Oreochromis niloticus: one gene and its partner. The protein of the gene in region 2 interacts with the protein of the main gene of each other region in a pairwise test. Links are inferred from orthologs where the notes say so. Each region holds a gene or a part of one and is shown on either strand. Other genes may lie near its edges. The genes, in order: rufy1 and utp25.

Region 1 (9,760 bases), on a different chromosome or scaffold from region 2:
AAAATAGTCTAACATAAATGTAAATGCTGTAATTTGATTATTGTAATAAACCATGTAACTTGGATGGATTAGATGCTGGCGTGACCACAGTGCACACGTCTGATGTCGCTCACAGTGGTCCAAGGGACCGCTCAGGGAGTTTGTGTGTTCGCTCAGACACATGAAAAATTAGAGGGAACATTGGACACAAAGGAGTATCTAAAGTTAAAAGAATAGCACCAAACATTCAAAAACATCTCAACACACCCACTGGTAAAACACTGCTCCCTGGTGGTGAAAGGTTTTGCTGCATTTTGAAGGCCATAATTACAAAAAGTAATTTTTAATCAACATAAGAAAAAAAAAAAAAAATCTTATTCTGACTTGCAGCCAATTCAGCTTCATTGCTAGAGTCTAGAAGCGGTCTCTACAAAGCCAATCACACATTTTAATGTTGGCATTGGATTACAGTATTTTATGCCTGTGTGTAAGAGTAATCTTAGCTGCAGCTGTAGGTTGCCTTTCACTTTGAAAATAAAACTTCATTTGTCAAGAGTGTACACATTCTTTTCCATCGCTATAATTCGGCTATTTAGATCCGAGCAAGCGTAACCTGACACATGTTGCGTGTGTGTTTGAGAGATGCTGACCGAGTGCAGGCCCTGGAGCTGCTGCAGCTGTGTGCGCAGTTCGGTGCTGTTGTCCTGCTCCCGCTGGAGAGTTTTTTGCAAGTTCTGTCTCTGTTCCCTCTCACTGCGCAGCTCGTTCTCCAACCCCAGCCTGTGCTCCGACAACACAAAAACGTGACTCTCAAGTCATCAAACTGCAAACTACTGCATGGACTCGGGCTACACAATGTTTAGAAAACTTTTAGAACAAACATTTTAGGTGAATCACATTTGCAACTTTGCCCTTTTATGAACCTTTTCTCTATGTACTGCTTAATACCACATTCAATACCCCCCCTCTCCATGCCCACAATTGCGATTCTTCACCTTAGCGTATCGAGATCTGTTAGCTGTTTCTGCAGAGCATCGACTTTTCCTTGCAGCTCCGCCTTCATGTCTTCGTCTGACTGGTCGTTCTGCTTGCGCTCCTGCTCCGACCTCTGTAGTCTATGAGTCACAAAATATGAAGAGGAGCGTCAATTTAAAGGAATGTAAACGCGAAACTGAATCTCACCCTGGGCAAGCACGCATACCTCTGCTCAAGTTCCTTCATGGTGTTCTCCATTTCATTCATCCTCTGCTCAAGCTGCACGGCCTCTGCCTGCTTTTTTTCTGCTTGGCGGTCCGAGTCCTGAGAAACCACATGAATTGGACAAATGCGCAATCTGTGTGTATGTGTGTGTGTAAGTGCGAAAGACAAAGTCATAATCATGCTCATCTATTTGTACCTGAGCTTTGTGGAACATCTGCACATTGAGAGTCTTGACTTGGTCAAGCTGGAGCCGTAGGGCTGCCAGCGTGTCCTGTTTCTCATGCGTGTCTTTCTCCAGCAGTTTCATGGCCACCTCTATCTCCTGCTTCATTCCCACCTGCAGCTCCAGTTCACGCTCCAGCTCCTAATACACAAGGGAGTCAAATTCAGTTAGAGTTGAGTCAAAACCCCAAAACACCAGGTGTGGAGTGTTGGTTCAAACTGTCCTGGAGGTCACTGATACTTGACCTGGCGAATGCGCTTTTCCTCCTTGTACTGCTTCCACACCACATTGTACATCTCATCCAGGCCTTGTCTAGTCTGTTTGTATGTCTCCAGCTCTGCCTGGCTGTCCTGAAGCACTGCCTGAAAAATAAAAACATGGCATTTTTCATTCCTTCTTAAAATCAGGAGGGGCTTCAGCTGCAATTAGTCCCAGATACTTTTTTTCCCCACACCTCCTCCTTTCTCTGGCTGGACTGCAAGATCGTCTCGTTCTCCTTTTTCAGCTGTTCCTGTTCTTCCCGTAGAGAGTTGATTCTGTCTGTGGCGGCTGTCAGCTGAGGAAAAGGAGAAAAACAAGACACACAGATACCAGCTGACGTTAAAGAGGATCAATCCAGCGCAAACAGAGTCCCACAGCTGCACACACAAAGCACGCCTAACCTCCTCTACGAGCTTGCTGTTAGTCTTCTCTAGAGAGTCCATCTTAGCCTGAAGGTCAGTGACGGTGCCGCTTAGGTGACGATTTAGCTCCTCGATGTAGTGCTTCTGATCCAATATGGCTGTCATCTTCGAATCACTAAGGGAGGAAGCGATACAATCACCATCTTATAGTTGTGAGACATATCTATACAAAAATTTGCAAGGATTTGTTAATACGGGGTCATTCTTTAAACAGTAATAACAATATAGAACAGTCCTGATTAAAATAATAATGTAAAGCAGTGTAGATGCTTACTCTTTTGGAGTCTCATTGCTGGCAGGGTCTTTCAGATAAAGTGAGAAGTCGATGACTGCTACCTAAATGGGAAAGAAGAGCAGATCACTCTGTATCTCGATGCAACTGTTCCTCAGAGTGAAACTGATTCTTACAAAACAGCATCACTAACCTGTGAATCAAGGTCCTCCCCTTTAATGCAAAGGTTAGCATCAATTACGTTGAGGCCCACCAGCAGCCCCACCATTACCGACCCTTCCTCCTCCAACATCAGTGCTCCAGAGTCATAAAACTCACTAAGGGATTTAAAAAGTAAAGTGGATGCTGGGAAGAAACCCATGTTTATAATGCACTATAAAACAAGCGTAACTGACCTCAGGAGGTCTTTGTGGTCCAGCAGGGCCTTCATATAGTCAGCTACTTTCTTCTGCATAAGCGCCAAATGCAGCCAAGCCCTTCCTCTCCCCAAACCGGTCCTAGGAAAAAACAAACAAACAAGAATGACAGTATAAGTGCAATTAAACACAGCTGTGATCTCTATAGTTTTATTATAGAAATATGTTTTTTAATGGCATACTTAATGCCGGGCATGTCTCTGGCACTGGTGGCAATGTTGACAGACTCCGGGCACAACTTTTCTACCAGCTCCAGTGGTCCCCATATAGACTTGTTGTGACCAATGAAGGATTTCTTGGCTGAATCAGACAGCATGCAGAATTAAATTCAGCATGCAGGCAGATAAATATAGCACAACAGCAACAGTCAGATTTATTTACGTCTAACCTTTAAGGCCATGTTTGAGGCAGTGCTCCAGGACAACAAAAAACTGCTGCAGAGGAGGGTACTCTGAGTCAAGCGTCCTGCCCAGACTCATAGAAGACTGAATCAACACTCTGATGCTGAGCTTCAGCATGCTGAGCAGGTTGGATCTTTCTATTGCCATTGAGTCTTTGGGGGGAACAACTGTACAGAAAGCATGAAAAAAAGCAGAAGCTCTGAGGTTAATTCTGTCAGATGACATAGCCGGAAAAACCCCAAACACATTACCAGCCAAGGAGCACTTCACTAACCAAAAAAAACCAAGAGTCTGATCTTGGAGTCATGTGATGTGACAGCTGACACTTAGTCAAGTGTTTAAGTGCCTGTGACAGCTGCAATGTTTCGATCTCCAAGTGCATTAACTAGCAGGCATCAGAAAAATCAAAGTCTACCTGGAAGCTTTTTCGCTGAGTTACTGAGGTCACTTTCGGCCTCATTCTCGGTCGGGGAGCTCGCCGCGGATCCCTGTGAGGGCTTTCTCTGGACAGCAGCGTAGCTGATCCCGCTGCTAATCGTCTCCGTGGCCTTACGAGCCAGAGACAGGAGAGGAGCCGACCAGCTGTTCTCCTCTGCGACCTGGGGAGCCGGCCTCTCGGTCCAGTCCTGCTCGCTGCCACCATCCGGTTCGCCATTAGTCGCTGGTCCTAAAACTTTGGGCTCATCTTGTTCTTGTTTTTCGTCGCGCTCTGTAACAGCTGTGTTTACTTCCCCTGCCTCGTCAGCCATGTTTGCCCTCCCCCCGCCCTCCTTTCGTGTACAAATCACGTGATCGCCTTAGACCAATAACGGACGCTTGTGAGGCCTGACATTCTTTTACTTTTGATTCATTGGCTGCTAGCAAAGCACACTGGAGTTAAATCACTGCCACCTGTTGGATTTGGCTGGAGAGTGGCGGACTGACAAATATCTAATAACTGAAGATCGCGTTTTTATTTATTTTTATTTATTTACAGTCAATGAAATTTTAGTTGTGCCTTTCAGGTTAGTGTGTTAGGTTAGTGTGGTTCACAGGACTTTGAACCACTTAAAAGACACAGCAAAATGTAAAAAAACAAACAACAAAAAACAAATAACATATAATGATTATCAATTTAAAATAAATGAAAAAGGCAATACATCCTAAATAAACATTTTTTAAAAACATGAATGTAGAGACAAATCAAACTGAGAACAAATGAAAAAACAAGTAAGATAATACTAAAATTAAAAAGTAACATAACATAAGTATGTAATACTTGAATGAATGAATGAGAAGGAGACAGATGGAACGATGAAGCTGGAAGGAGCAGAGTGAAGGTGGATAAGTTTAAGCACCTGGATTCAACCATCCAACTTAACAGACAGTGCACAGGAGAGGTGAAGAAGAGAGCGCAGGCAGGGTGAAGCTGGTGGAGGCGATTGTAAGAGAAGCATAAAGTGAAAGGAAAGGTTTACAAGAAGGTAGACCTGCTGTGATTCATGTTTAGACATGGTGGTGCTGACAAAAAGACAGGAGCCAGAACTAAAGATAAAGATTTTCATTCGGAGTGACCAGTATGGACAAATAATTACTTTAGAGAGACACCTCAAGTTGAGTGGTTTGAAGACAAAGTTAGAGAGGCAGGCTGAGACGGTTTGGAGGAGGGATGGTGGAGATACGGGACAAAGGATGCTAAATGCAGCTGCCAGGTAGGAAAGAATAAAAGAGAAAAGAGGAAGACCTTAGAGGAGGTTCGTGGATGTAGTGAAGGAGGAGATGCAGAGGGTTGACAGAGGAGGATGGTAACAATGGAGTGAGATGAGGGCAGATCATTTGGTGTGGTGACCCCTTAGGTGGCAGATGAAAGAAGAAGATGGAGAAGAAGAATAAGTCATGTTACTTGAGATTGAATGGTCATGTCACACAGTGGAAATTTGTATTTATCTATTACATTGGTTTTATTCTGTTTTTTAGTCTTTATTTGTGAGTGTAGTTTTTATTTGCATGATTTTATTCTGTTTGTATTGCATGGTTTTAAGTGGTTTATTTGACATTGTTTTAATCCACTGTGGACTGGCTGGGCATGGGACAAATTAGCTGATAGTGATCACCTGAGACATGGGTGTGTCCAGAGGTGGCCTATCAGCTGTTTAAGGGACCTTTTAAAAGGAAGCTGGCTGGGGATTGGGAGGAGAGAGGCTCCAGATATGAAAAGGAAAGCATGAAGGCCAGGTTTCATCTAAAAAACAAAAAACAAAAGGGACCCGCTGCCTGATCGTGGGGGTGCGACGCCTCATCTGGAGACGGACCGGTAGCGACAGCAGGAACGGCGACAGTAGGAGACAACGCCTGTGATTGACAGCAGGGCACAGGTATGCCTCTGCCTGCATTTGTGAGTAGTGTCTCCACTGTTGTTCACCAGGTGCAGCCGTGTTGGGAGAGGGTCGCCATGGCTATAAGCCAGGGCAGCTTCCAGGACGATGGTTCTGGCCCCTATTTGTTTACAGGGCGATGACGCGAGGAGAGGCGCGATGGCATCGAGCAACGGACTCCAGTGCAGAATGCGAGCTGGGCTGGGAAGTGATGGGCCCAATGAAGGGACGAGAAGGGGATCGGAGGCTCCTCTGGCATGCACGCAGCTCCGCAAGAGGAATTTCTGGCCTGTGAACCCATAACGAACATTCGTCCTGGGTTGTGGGACTGGGTGGGATTTTTAGAGCATACAGAAAATTGCATTTTTACCAGTTTTAGAATTGTTTTATCTAGGCTCGGTGGGAATTTTAGCGTATTGACAACATTTTATTATGTTTTTAGAATTATTTCTCATTCTTGCTCCCTGGCCTGGAAATAAACCGTTTCTGATCAGACCTACATCATCACTGTGCCCTTGGTTTCTGACTCGCTCCACCCCGTGTATTTAAAAGAATCTCTTTAGTATGACATTCTGGCGCACCAGATTCGGTGTCTACAGTCACATCAGAGTTGGTTGATGCCTAAGAATACAAAGGGCAGACAAATTCATTACTCCATACGTGGTGAGCAGCCCACCCTACATGTGACCTCAAAACACACTACAGTGTAGTTAAGCTTTAGCCAAAGAAGCTTTACTATGACGGGAATCGTAAGAATATGCACTTAGTAGTAAAGCCTTAAATCTCTAGAAAACCTGCAGTAGTAATAACACCAAAAGCTGTGATGCTGATGTACTGTGTATCTATTATAATTTTATTTGATGCATTTTGTGTTGCTTTAAATTGACTCCAACTTTAATTATTAATTCTAAGAATGTTAACACAGCCATCCATAAAGTCAGACTATACTTTAATCCAATTGAAGCACTTGTGATATTAACTTATTGATGGTATGTTTTTGCACTTGAGAGCTGAAGGGAGAATTTTACATTGCTATCAAAAGATAATTTTCTAGTGAATAATTGTTACCTCAGAACTGCATGACACCAGTAGTAATAAGATCTACTGGCAGTGAATAAACGTATTAGGAGCTTGCAGTCCTTCCTTTTGCACTTAAATCTACCATTACTCCTCTGTGTAATGTAATGCACTTGCATTTATACAACACTTTTCTAGACTTACTGACCATTCAAAGCAATTTGAACTATACATTTATGCAGCACTTTAAGCTATACACTTACATCCATGGTCGATTTAGAATCATCAGTTAACCCTACAATGGACATTTGTGGACTGCGGAAGAAGCTGGAGTACATGGAGAGAAGTAACACAGACAGGAAGCCCAGGGAACCAAGAACCTTCACATTGTGAGTTGACAGTTTTAACCACCTCACCACCTTGCTCCTCAAATTACCCAAGTCTGTGTAGTTACCTGAAATTAAAAAAAAAAAAAAAAAAGAGGGAAGGCAGGGAGATAACTGAAAAGTACTTGTGTTATCACAAAACTAAGTGAAAATAAAAACACACAGGAAAGGCCTTAAGTTTTAGTCACCTTTGGCATCACAGTGGCCTGATGATGCTTTGTAATCTTTCTTTCTTTAGATTTGGGAGGTCTACAGTATTGTGAACCAGCTGCCCTTCGAGAAGTGGTGTTTGTATTGAAATGTCTGTTGTGAATTTTTGAAAACATGACTAACTGTAAAAAAGTATATCAAAAAGTAAAAAAAAAGTAAATCAAAATTAAACATTTTTCAAATAAACTGAAACAAGTGAAATTAACTGTAACTCTGGAAACTACCTAAACTGAAGCCAATAAGTAAAAACAGCGTTGTGTAATTCTTGACCACGTGGTGGCGCTCACATTTCGTACCCGTTAAAGGCGCTTTTAATACTTAGAGGCAAATGAAGCACATCATCAACAGTTTTTACTGCAGTTGTATATTTTGTCATCTACTACGTTTCCTGTCCTCCTGTTCCTCAGCGTCGCTGTTGAATTATCTTGCTTAAATGTAAGTATGGACTGTTAATGTATCTTACTTAATATTTGGACTTCTGATTCTGTGACACGCATACTTTAAATCTGTGAGTGCTTGAACCGTCGGATTTACCTGGATTAAACACAACCAAACCCTGACGGCACTCAGACAGAAAGCATGAGTCAATATGTACAAAAGGAACCAAGAATTTAGTTTTTTTTTTTTAAAGTTTCAGTTTCCTATTTCTTTTGATTTCCCGACAGTTTTTACATTTTATTTTCTATCTTTGAAAAAAAATCCGCACAAGATTAAGATGATTTTGGATAAAAAAGATTAAGATGATTTTGGATAAAATCATCTTAATCTTGATTTTTTTTATGCCCCCCCCCCCAACACACGCACACTTTCTTTTAGCTTTCATATATTTCACTCGGGAGTACCAACATGATGGGTAATCTGAGTTAAAATACGAATTAATCGGCGCAACCCATGGCCATGGTCAACACCCAGAAGGAGGCGGGGTGATTACCCAGGCTAAAAGGCTCGTGAGCGTCTGTCGCCAGTCTTTCTCGAGAGAAGAAAGCGGCAGCAGGAGCGCGAGGAGAAGAGAGGACTTCTGTTAACAAAAAAATAAAAACCACATAAAAAAACCAAAAGAGAAGGAATACTGAGAGGTGGACGGAATATAACTTTTAGATTTTTTTTTATTTTTTAAGATTTTTTTTTTGTTAATTTAAATAATTTTTCTACTTAAAGCTACTGGAAGCCATGAGGATTTTCGCTGTTGCGCTCTTGCTGGCTCACGTTTTGGGTACGTTTCATGTGTGCTTGTGCAACTTAACCAGTGTTTCTTCTGTGTTCATTAATGGATCACTTAGCGTGTGTGTGTAGTGTCTCTTTCTTGGCTGTCAGTGTAATCCTCTCTATAATAACCGAGCTATAACATGCCGTGTAAACTTAATCTTTTAGGCAACAGTTTTCATGATGCCAGCCTATTCGGGAGCTAATGGGGTCATCTCTCTTATTTTAGAGCATGCTTTATGTAACTGGATACATTTATTTTTAACTCATATTCTTGCCTGACATTAGCTAACTGTCTGCCCATGCATTTTGTGCGTGTGTTATGAGAGACAGAGGGGGGAAGGCTGTGTGCCAGGCCGATATCTCAATGTCCACGAATTTGAGGACATGGTTTTGGCGTCTTTTTGAGTGCATCCTGAGCTGGGCATTGACTCAATCAATCCCTAAGGACAGTGTCTGATCCGGTGTATTTCCTAAGAGAGAGCAGCAGCTTAATTACTGCATCCCTAAAAAATCCTGCCTGAAGCTTCTTCCTGCACAACATGTTTCAACTTGCCCAAGAAGGTCCACCCACCTTGGTGCACTAACCTGTCTGCTGGTTGTCCCCTAGAGGAAGAGTTTTCTGATTGTGTTTTTGTTATTTGTTTGTTTTTTGTGGCATATATATGTTCAAAGCAGACCTCATTCATAACATTTGATTTTCCTGCTCCTTCAGTGATGTCCAGACTGGCCAGCGGTGCTGCAGTAGACCGTTACGACAGCAACAAGCAGCGGCACACCTCTGTTATCAGCCTCCTGGACACAACCAGAGACAGGAGAGCAGAGGAGGAGAACCGGGGCGTGAGGACCACAACAGCAGATTACAGCAAGGACGGCGAGGCGGAGGAGTATGATGATGACTACTACTATTATGAAGAGTATGAAGATGGCACGTCTGGAGACTATGAACTGCAACTGCCAAGAGGTAAGGCACTTAAAAAAATGTCTTAAATGTTGCATTGGTGCTTTTACGTGGCTTGTAACAAAGACAGCACATGTAATTGTTGGTCTTGTTTGTTTTTTTTTTTGTCACTTTAGTTGCCATGTCAAGCAAACCCAAAGATCCTTCTACCATCCTGGAGGCTGAAAACACTGAGGGAAAAACAACGAGAGGAAAGGGAAAGAAGAAGGGGAAAGGAAAGGGAAGGAAGAGGAATCCTTGCCTGAAGAAGTACAAAGATTACTGCATTCACGGGACCTGCACTTACCTGAGAGACCTCCGTGAACCATCATGCGTGTGAGTATTTAGCTCTCTGTTTACCTGCACGTCATGCGCACCTCAAGTCGATCAATTATTAACCGTTTTCCCCTCACCGTCCTCTTCGCAGGTGCCACCATAATTACTCCGGCGATAGGTGTCAGTTTATCCTGCTGCCATCGCAGTCCCGAGAGGGCTACAACCGCACCACAGCTCTGG
Region 2 (9,701 bases):
ACTTTGTAGTATGATAAGAGCGGCACTTCAAGTTCAACTTTTATATTTCAAGTCTTGGTAATATTTCTGGATATTTATATATTAGAGTTATATATATATGTACACACACACACACACACACACATATATACAATAATGGATGCCGATATTAAACATGCCCAGAACATGTGCAAATTGCTCCTGTGAGCCAAAACCTCAGTTTTAGGCTTCTTTTTTTACTTATGGCTCCGTATGACGTCACTGAGAATCACCTCAGGCACATGGCTTGGGACTATAAGCACATAAAAGTCCACCCCTCCTTGCTAATCAAACCCTATGTTTGAGAGGTGGAACCAATCTGAAGAAAGTTGGGGGGGGCCTTAAAGGAGAAGGGGCTAACACGGCTTCTGTCAGACAGAGGATTAAAAATGAGGGGCTGCACCAAGGATCAGCAACATAAAGCTACTCTACGACAAAAAATATGCAGCTGTCGATGAGCATTATAAGTCTCCTTTAATGAAGATGTATTTAATGAGACTGGTGTACCGTAATCTGAGTCTTTGATTTGCAGCCCGACGTTATCTTCTGCACGTCCTCTTCATCAAGCTCTGTGTCCAAATGCTGGACAAACAAGTCTGTAAACCAAGATAAAACTATAAAACACACCATACTCGTATCTAGAGCTGATAAAACAAATGTACAAGACAACATTCAAAAATCAGTTTTTTAAGATACTAAGTAATTATACTAAAGAATTCCAGAGATCTTTTTTCCCCTCCAACCCTTTAAGTACCTTTACTATCTTCATCCCGTGTTTCCTCCTGTTCTCCTTTTCCCGTGAAGTTGGTCTCCAGACAGAACTGGGACTCATGCTCTTTGTCTACAAACTCATCTCCTGGCTCCTTCCTGTCATCCTCCCCATCTCCTGCTTCCATCAAAGCTTCCTCTCCATCTGCAGGTTCTCCTTCTCCCTTTTCATCTTCATCACCACCCTCACTTCCCTCCTCAGCGTCACTCTCATCTGAGATGGAAAAAAACACAAACACATTCAGTGAAATCCAAAGTGGTTGCTGAAATAAAGAACCCTGGAAACAAACAGCTCACCTTCACCAAGAAGCTCCTCTTCATCTTCTTCTTCATTATCATCATCATCTGTGCTGTCCTCCTCTTCGCTCTGAGCTTCACCTCTTGGTTGGCTGAGAGTTGAAAGAAGTTTCTGATAGGCTGTTTTCTGCTCTGGTTCCTCCTCTTCTTCTTCTGGTTCCAGCTCATCGGGCTCTGACTCAGATTGTTCTGGACTTGACGGCTAAAAATAAAAAAAGGTAGCTCATGAATCCATTTATTATCGCTGTGTTGATGCTGTTCCTACATCCTAACGATTATTGCTGCTCACTGAATGTGGCATCATCGATTTGTGTGTAATAGTAAATACTGAACCTAAATCTAACCTCAAAACTGGATCAAATGTGATGGTTTATGCAAGGATGGGGTGTCATAGATATTTAAAAAAAGTATATTACAGATTAATTAAGTAACTATTTATTTACTTACTTTACTGTCTGAAGAAGGTAATTTGATACACTACATTACTTGTTCATTACTTCAGATGTCCTGAGATGGTCGGAATGACAAATTAACAATGTAAACCTTAGGCTAAAGCAGCCACTCCCCAAGTCAAGAGTGTGCGGCCCACTTAAAACACAGAAAATCCGATGGGCCCCACCCAATCTTAAAACTTTACTCTAGTCAAAATACAACAAGAAATATTGTATTTCCTTAAAAAATGTACTCAGAACCCATAAACCATACAGGCTTTTGGTTATACAGTCATATGTGAACACCAACACATCTGCCACTGGGACACAAACCTTAATGCAAATGCAGTAAATTTAGGTCAGAGTAATATCACAAACTACCACCTCCTACTACCAGTTTTATTTCCCTTTTTATATAAATAAATACATTTATACAAGTCTGTAACTGTACATACTAGTAAGCAATTTCAAACTGAATTTCTGTTATTACTCTGGCCCACCTGCAGTTCCTTAGCAGCCCACCAGGGGGGGCCTAGTCCACCCTTTGGGCATCACTACCCTAAAGCTTTGATTTTGTTCCGCAGTCATTCCCGTTACACTTCTTTGAAGACCGCTGCCTGAAGCGCATGCATAGCTGATCACACAAAACAGGGAGGCATGCAGCTGTCCACTAGGACCCTCAGGCTTGCCGTATTACGATGAAATTTACATCAGCCTAACCTGAGCAGACTCATCGATGTGGAAAGTATAATCGAGGCTTCATTGGGACACATAAGCCCAAAGTGGTAAATTAGAAAAAACTTTGAAATTTCATGTATTAGAGGAGCCAAAACAATAAATACCACCTATTATTACATACTTTAAATAAAGCATTAAAGTGCAATACAATGTGGCAAAAACAACGGTCTCAATAAGCTTAAAACTACACAAAAGAAAAGCGCTAAATCAAACAGAAAAATGTGTCCAGACTGTATTTGTAGAAACATATACGGGGAGTCGGGGAAAAAAGCAGACTTTGACAAGGCACACACTTTTCACAGCACTAACGTTTAGGACTTTCTACTCACCAGTTCCATTACTTGAGTTTTTTCAGGTCTTTCATTAACTCTGTAAAAAAAATAGAGAGAGAGAGGAGAGAGAGAGAGAGAGAGAGAGGGAGAATGAAATGAAGCTGCTCAGACAACATATTTGTAAAATTGAATTATTGATATGGAAAGACTGTGATCAATAAGTGGCAGTTTATTATATATATATATATTAACGCATTGTTCTTTTGGCCTGCACCACTGCTTATGTAGATCAGGGATGGCACCAGTGGTGAGAGAGCTGACCCACCAAAGTACAGAATTCAACCCACTGGATGGCTTTCTGAATTAAATGTAAAAACAGCAGAATCTGACATGTCCCACTAGATGTGAGCTCCTCCTGCCGTCCTCATGGAGTCTTATTCTAACAGTTTATCCAGAAAATGAATGAGGTCATCATTTAGAGCTTTGGCGGTGGCTCCTCCTGTTTCTACACACACAGAGGAGCAGATCGCAGTGCTGTAGCGGTGCTGATGCCTTTCTGTGGCTCTGTCCAGCTCTCCTTGTGTAACAGCCCATCTCCTGAGCTACCAGTAAAAAAAGTACCACCAAAAAGCAAAACTATAGAACGATCAGCCAGATGGTATTAGGAGCGAGGCTGTGCTGTTGTTGCCTCTCCGGCGTACCTGCGTCACTTTCCACAAAGCAGGAGAAACTGTTCTGACTGAAGTTAAAGAGTCCCCTTAAAATGCGCCATTCTTCTTCTACTGTTTCGGCTTTACTAGGGGCTTAACTCACTGATAGTTTCTAATATTAAAAATCCACGTCATCAGGTAAACATCAGCACATTGCCCTCCTTAGAAAACGTAAACTTAACATGTTTGCTACATTTCTGTTTGTACTTTACACCGAGATAATACGGGGGGAAAAAAAACTACAGTTACGTTTAAAAAATTGAAAAGAAACTACCCGTGACCCTCTTTTTTAGTGAAATGTATATTAATACAGCCAGGTCTTTGCTGATAACGCATACATATCCGTGCAATAGTTTGAATAAACTGCCATCTGAGTACCAATTAGCAGCCTTGCTAATATAAAGCAGCTTCTTCATTTAAACCAGACCGTAAGTTGCTGTCGTGCTGCTTACACATCGTGAAAAGGATGCTCCTCTCCAAACTCCTTCAAGTGCTTCTTCTGTTTTTTGGATAAAGTAGTTATAAACTGCTTATTCTCCTTTCTTTTGCCCATGTTGACACTCTGGTGCAGGAACACGTGTGGGGTCTGCTTCTTCCTCTTCTTGCTGTGCGCCAGCAGCGGGCGCTTTCTGCCATCTACAGGAGCGGGGTGGAATTACAGACTGGCGGATCGACATTATTTAGAGGGAACTTTATGATCCGCATTATTTGTTTGGCCACGAATTTACCCGATCCCTGGACTGGGATTAACATTAGGAGTACACTCGCTAATAAGTTGCATGAGAAGAATGGAGAAGAAATCAATTAACACTTATTTTCCTTTGATCCTAGCAACACTTGAGTGACTGGAAAGTTGTTTAATACAATAAAAAAAAGCAAAAAACACCCCCCAAAATCTAACAAACACCTGATTGATGAAAAACATGGTTTGATATAAAAACAACTTGCCAGAGAGGCTTTCAGAAGCAAAGATGAGATTTTTGTTACCGCTGATAGTTTAAAGACAAGCAGCTATTCTCGGCAAAAAAACAAACAAACTGCAGTTCTTGTAGTGGCCAATTGAGGCTGGCTCCAAAAGTCGGTGAATCTCCACAGGTTCTAATTCTAAAATAATCAACTTTACAGTCGATGATTACAGCCAAATACCAACAACAATAATAAATAATAATAATAAAAATCCTGGTCTCTGTGGATAGCTTTCCATCTCATTTAATAATAACATAACATTAAAAGAAAACTCACCAGAATCAAAGTTTATTTCTATAGCACATTTTAAAAGACTAGGGTAGATCAAAGTGCTTCATAATAATACCGCAATGCGGGCAGAAACAAGAAACAAATAGTACAATTTCAATTAAAAATTACAATTACATGGTGTAGTGCAGGCCAAGTGAAAGTCAGACTAATTTGCTTCAAAAGCTAAATTGAACAGGTGGGATTTTAAGCGCGATTTGAACGATTGAATAGATTCCGATTCAATCCTATCAACTAGGAGATTATTCTAGAGTCTAGGAGCGGCAATAGCAAAGACACGGTCACCTCTTTTAAACGAGACCTTGGTTGTATTAGGAGCAGTTGGCTGGAGGATCTTAGTGCTCTTTTTGGGTTATACAGGTCAAGGAGATCAGTTAAGTTGCTAGTAACTAACTTGATGGTGGTAAGGCTTAAAGTTTTGCCTCTGGCTCTATTCATTACTTTGTGACACTTAACTGAACCTACTGTGTTTTACTCTGGCAAATAAAATAGCCTGCTGGAAGGTGCAGAGGTTGCAAAAAGTTGGAAATAAAACTAGGACAAGACACAAAGGAAAAGTTAACCTTCAAAATAAAACATGAAGTAACTAAAAGGCAAACACTGAAACTGAAAACAAAGAAACACAACAAAACAAGCTATCACAACAGGAACCAAAATACAAAGCAATAACCTTCCACACTGACAGAAAGGACACACGGTGTATTTATGAGCATGTCATGATTTGTCATGACTCCCACTGCTGACTTGTATCAGCAGTGGAAGCGTGAGTTAGAATACAGCGGTCCTTTTCCAGGTGAGAAAAAGGACCGAAAAGAACAATCTGCCTACTTTGGCTTTCGAGTCTGCGCTCTCGTGATAACCTCGGGGTCAGACAAACAAAATGGGGGTCGCAGTAAAGGTCACCGGAGGTTGTCTGGTGTTTCTTGGGTAATTCATCCTTGTTGCTGGCCCAGTCGACCATAAAGGATCACACACTTCTGTAGCTGTTTGAAAACTAACCTGGATCAATTATTGAACATGGTAATATCAATTTACTGTTTGCCTGTTTTAGCGGTTACCATGGCAGAAGCTCATTAATTATTAACCATCTGGGTATCTAGTTTTTGTACTCAGGGTATTTTCAGCTCATTTTGACACATCAATGAGGATATTATTGTTTGATAATTGCACAGCACAGAGAGAGCGTGTCTGGCTTTTCTGAATGGGATGTAAAACATGTGAGACATTCTTGTATTTCAATGGAGAGGCCAAAACTGAAACAGGAGAACGAGAAGGCTGGGAAAACAGTCAGGTTTAGAGTAGCGTCTGCCAACAGCGGCCGGGTCTTGGCGGAGGTGTTCAAGGATGAGAGAGCCTGGTGCGGCTCGGTGGAGGACTCTGTGGAGTCTGACCCGACCAGCAGCCCGGAGGCAGAGCAGCAGGGCGGCTCTCTCCCCACCAGCGAGGCCAACAGCCACCTGAACGGTTTGGTGGTGGAAGCAGCCGTGGACGAGAATGGCTGTGAACCCGATGACCTGCTTTTGTACGCCAGTGCCAAGAGAGAGATGCTGTTTAGCAACAAGCGGATCAATATCTGCAGCAAGAATGGGACCGTGAGAGGAGTGAGGAACAAAGTGAGCGCAGGCCAAGTGCTTTTCAACAACCTCTCCAACATGTACTCTGTAAGTAGCTCAGTGCATCATCCGAAACAATTTTAAATTAAGCATTATCCTCTTTTATTAACATGTATGAAGTCAGACTGAAAGGTTATGGAATATTTCTGACCATGAAGAGATTTTCATGCACTCATAACTCTTATTTGCTTTTCCTTTTAGGGTTCCCTTCGTCACCAGAAAAGGAGACCCTGGGAAAAGCAGTGAACAGCGTGGGATTTCACACCGTGGGCACATCAGGGAGGAGCAATCCTGAGGATGAAGATTGTCTTACAGCTTTGCCTCCACCCTGAATCCCTTTCAATGACTTCTGTTTCTTCACGTGACGTGGAGTCATTCATGATCCCAGCCTCATATTTACATGTGCCTTCAGGATATTTTTGACCACAAAATTTTTGATTTGACTTCTTGTACAACTTTTCACAGCTGTTTATGGGCAACTAGGAAACAAAACTGGATAGAGGTAATATATGTACATACATTTAACACTACAGACGTTTATTTTATTGCAATTTGGAATTTATTGGCGCTTATTTCATTACAACTTGTTGAAAGTAACAACCTGTCCACATATGATTCTATCCAACAAATCTTAAGTTTTAAAAATGTTCTGGTTTACTGACAGAGAAAATTGTTTTGTGTGAAGAACCAAAGAAGGATTGTCCAAATAAATGTGATTTTGTTCATACAATTTTGTTTTTAACTCCTTTTTGCATTGAAAATGGAAAAAAAGTGATTGTTGAGGATTAAAAGACAGTTTTACTAGAGATTGATGCTTTGTTTGAATCCACCCTGTGGCCTTTCTTTGCGTGTTCTCCCTGAGTCTCTGTGGGTTATTGACTGTAGGCGTGATTGTGGGAATGGTTCTGTGTCTCTGTGTTAGCCCTGCGGCAGACGAGCGACCTGTCAAGGGACCCCACATGCCTTCGAATTGGATATGAGCAGAATAAAATGGATGGATGAACAGCCCTTCAAAAATGATCCACAATTTTCCAACATGTGCTTCATGTGTTTCAGTAAAGATTTAAACCAAACAGCTGAAAAACAATTTTACTAACTGCTCTGAGATTTTGACTGAATTTCTGAGAAGTAGATTGTATTTTTTAAGTTGTGAGTTTATTTTTGACCTAAAATCTGACATGATTTTGATATTTCATGGAGTCTTTCATGTATGAACAGGTCTTTTCTGTTTGTAAAGATTTTGTATTCATTTCTAGATTGAATGTGCTTCATATCATCTTTGACACAAGATTCACACAAATACTGTAAACTGTAAATATAAAAACCTTTATAATAGTTAAATGCATTTTCATACAGCAGATTTTATGCTTGACCGTTTCTGGAAACTCCTGTTAACTACATTTATTATGGACTTATCAAGGTTTTTGAAAACATTTTACATAATATATCATTTACAACATAACTGATGTTATTGGTGGAATTCATGTTTAAAATTAAACAAGCAAATCTGTAAAAATTACTTTTTTACCTACTCTTTGTACCAGACACAAGGAAATGTGACTGTCAAAAATAACACAGGAGGTAACTAAACACAAAGGAAAAGTTAAGAAAAAAGAGAGTCTAAAATAAGTAATCTAAAGCAGAATCCTAACTGAAATAAGCGGAAAGTGTCAACCAAAAATAAATATTAAATAATAAAATTATTTTAAAAATCCACAAATTGAAGAAACTCAAAACTTTTTTGGGCTTTGTGTTTTTGTGGGTTTTATACTTTTGCTGACTTAACAGACTCTTTGACAAAGATGAAAACATGACTATAAATATACAGAGGGCTGATTAGGGAATAGAAAACAGAAGAGGAGGAAATAAAACCCAAAAGAAACGAGCAGAGGAAACTATCAATAAGAAAAAAGGAAATGACCAAACAAGGAGAGATGAAAGAAAGATTCTAAAAATTAATGAACTATTTCAGGAGGGAACATGGCAGGAAAACATCATACAGACCTACACAGGGAGCGGGCAAAACGGAGATTTGTTATAATGGTGGAAAACAAAAACACAGAAATTGGAAAGTCACAGGATCAAAAATCAAAACCCCAAATCACAAAACTGGAAAATTATAAAGTTGAAGACAGGAATCAAAGACTTGATGATGTCTTAAAATCACTAGCAGAATAATAATAACTGAAAAAACAGTTTTAAAAATAAAAGCTCAACTGTATTAAGAATGAAAAACCCTCAAACAACACAAAAGCCCAGACCGTGACTAAAAACCCTGAATCCACGAATCCAAAAACTTAAAAAAAAAAAAAAACCCCTCTACAACAGCACTGAAATCAAAAGTCATGAATAAGGAACAAAACCCTGGGACCATGACACCTTGATCAAGCTGATGAGCCGGCACATTGAGGAGGAACCTTTAAGTGTCATCGGATTACTGAGTTAAAGCGAAAAACTCTGTTTTTCCTTCCCTGCATTGAAAAGCGGTGCAGCTTCACATTTTAAGACTCGCTTAAGGTCGGACTTTCCCTTTAAGTGATTTATGCAACAGCATCTCCCGGTACCTCAGTCTACCTCAGTCAGCACCATGGACAGCGACCCCGCCAGCTCTCCGGCCGCCTCCTGCGCACCCAGCGGGCCCCGAGGGGCAGGGCACGCTCCTTCAGTAACGACGACCAGCTAATACAGCACATCTCCCATCATGTTACTGCGGCACTGACAGCTGAACCGTAGACAGCAGGATGCGGGATTTCCCGTAGAAACACCCCCGCGTATTGTTTTTCTTGTCTTAACCCGTTTCCCAGCAGCTGGAAGGTACAGATGCTCTTTTTTGGCCGATCACCGGCTGTAAATGCCTCTAAACGACAGCAGATGTGACGAGTCTCATTTGAGGGTCGCTGTGGAGCAAAGGTGGTGAAATCTCTCCCTCTTCTCCCTCCTCCACGCCCTGTCATCACTACCAGTAGCTGCCCAGCACCATGTCTTCTCCACCATCAGCTGCGACAGCGAGTGAAAGCAGCACCACCACCGTTTTCGAGGAGGACACCAGAGAGGAGGTAGAATTTTCTGGCAATTCTCTTTTTTCTTTTTCCTTTTTCTTACAGTCTCTGTGTTGTTGATTTTTATTGTGTCCGTGCGCGTGCTGTGCAGGCTGTGACACGCTGCAGGTGGATGATCTGACAGGTGTCATCGGTGTAAACTTGAACACGGGAGTGCGTGTGGTGGTGGCGATTCACTCTGCTTATCTTCCTGTTTATTTAGTTTTCCATTTAAGTTTCCATTTTATTTATTAATTTGTTCATTTTTAAAAAAACATGTTTTAAGTAAAATTTTCTCACAGTTTCTCGTTTTTATGAATTATTTTTGACAAATAGAAATGAATGAAATGAGAGAAAATGTAGACCAAAAAGGGTAAAAATAAATACTTTTAATTTCCTATTTTGTTTTTTACAAAGACAATTACAAAACAACTGACAGCATATTAATGTCTGTTCTCTTCAACCAAATTAATGCCTGCCTTCATGTATATTAACTTTAAATCATAGTTTTATTACTCAAATTGAGCTACTTTTGTCTTCCATACCATGAAACTTGCCTTTA

What was found.
Region 1: the proteins of utp25 (region 2) and rufy1 interact in binary tests that used the Homo sapiens proteins (3 or more experiments, as listed by UniProt). The link is inferred for Oreochromis niloticus from reciprocal best matches to the Homo sapiens genes UTP25 and RUFY1.

What each region holds. Positions count from the first base shown.
Region 1 is NC_031966.2:28,808,946-28,818,705, forward strand, and holds the start of rufy1 (RUN and FYVE domain-containing protein 1), read right to left. Parts: upstream 3,921-9,760; 5' UTR 3,884-3,920; coding exon 3,550-3,883; intron 3,302-3,549; coding exon 3,122-3,301; intron 3,034-3,121; coding exon 2,916-3,033; intron 2,815-2,915; coding exon 2,713-2,814; intron 2,635-2,712; coding exon 2,511-2,634; intron 2,422-2,510; coding exon 2,360-2,421; intron 2,201-2,359; coding exon 2,065-2,200; intron 1,959-2,064; coding exon 1,857-1,958; intron 1,765-1,856; coding exon 1,648-1,764; intron 1,544-1,647; coding exon 1,376-1,543; intron 1,279-1,375; coding exon 1,181-1,278; intron 1,095-1,180; coding exon 975-1,094; intron 760-974; coding exon 630-759; intron 1-629. Other genes in the region: hbegfa (heparin-binding EGF-like growth factor a), read left to right, coding at 8,272-8,314, 9,020-9,268, 9,382-9,580, 9,672-9,760. UniProt on the Homo sapiens protein: Activating adapter involved in cargo sorting from early/recycling endosomes. Regulates retrieval of proteins from endosomes to the trans-Golgi network through interaction with the dynein-dynactin complex.
Region 2 is NC_031983.2:24,834,193-24,843,893, reverse strand, and holds the start of utp25 (U3 small nucleolar RNA-associated protein 25 homolog), read right to left. Parts: upstream 3,868-9,701; 5' UTR 3,788-3,867; coding exon 3,687-3,787; intron 3,624-3,686; exon of another isoform or gene 3,226-3,623; intron 2,622-3,225; coding exon 2,582-2,621; intron 1,286-2,581; coding exon 1,084-1,285; intron 1,001-1,083; coding exon 773-1,000; intron 615-772; coding exon 526-614; intron 1-525. Other genes in the region: grxcr1b (glutaredoxin domain-containing cysteine-rich protein 1), read left to right, coding at 5,727-6,149, 6,303-6,347; transmembrane protein 151B, read left to right, coding at 9,080-9,157. UniProt on the Homo sapiens protein: Component of the ribosomal small subunit processome for the biogenesis of ribosomes, functions in pre-ribosomal RNA (pre-rRNA) processing. Essential for embryonic development in part through the regulation of p53 pathway.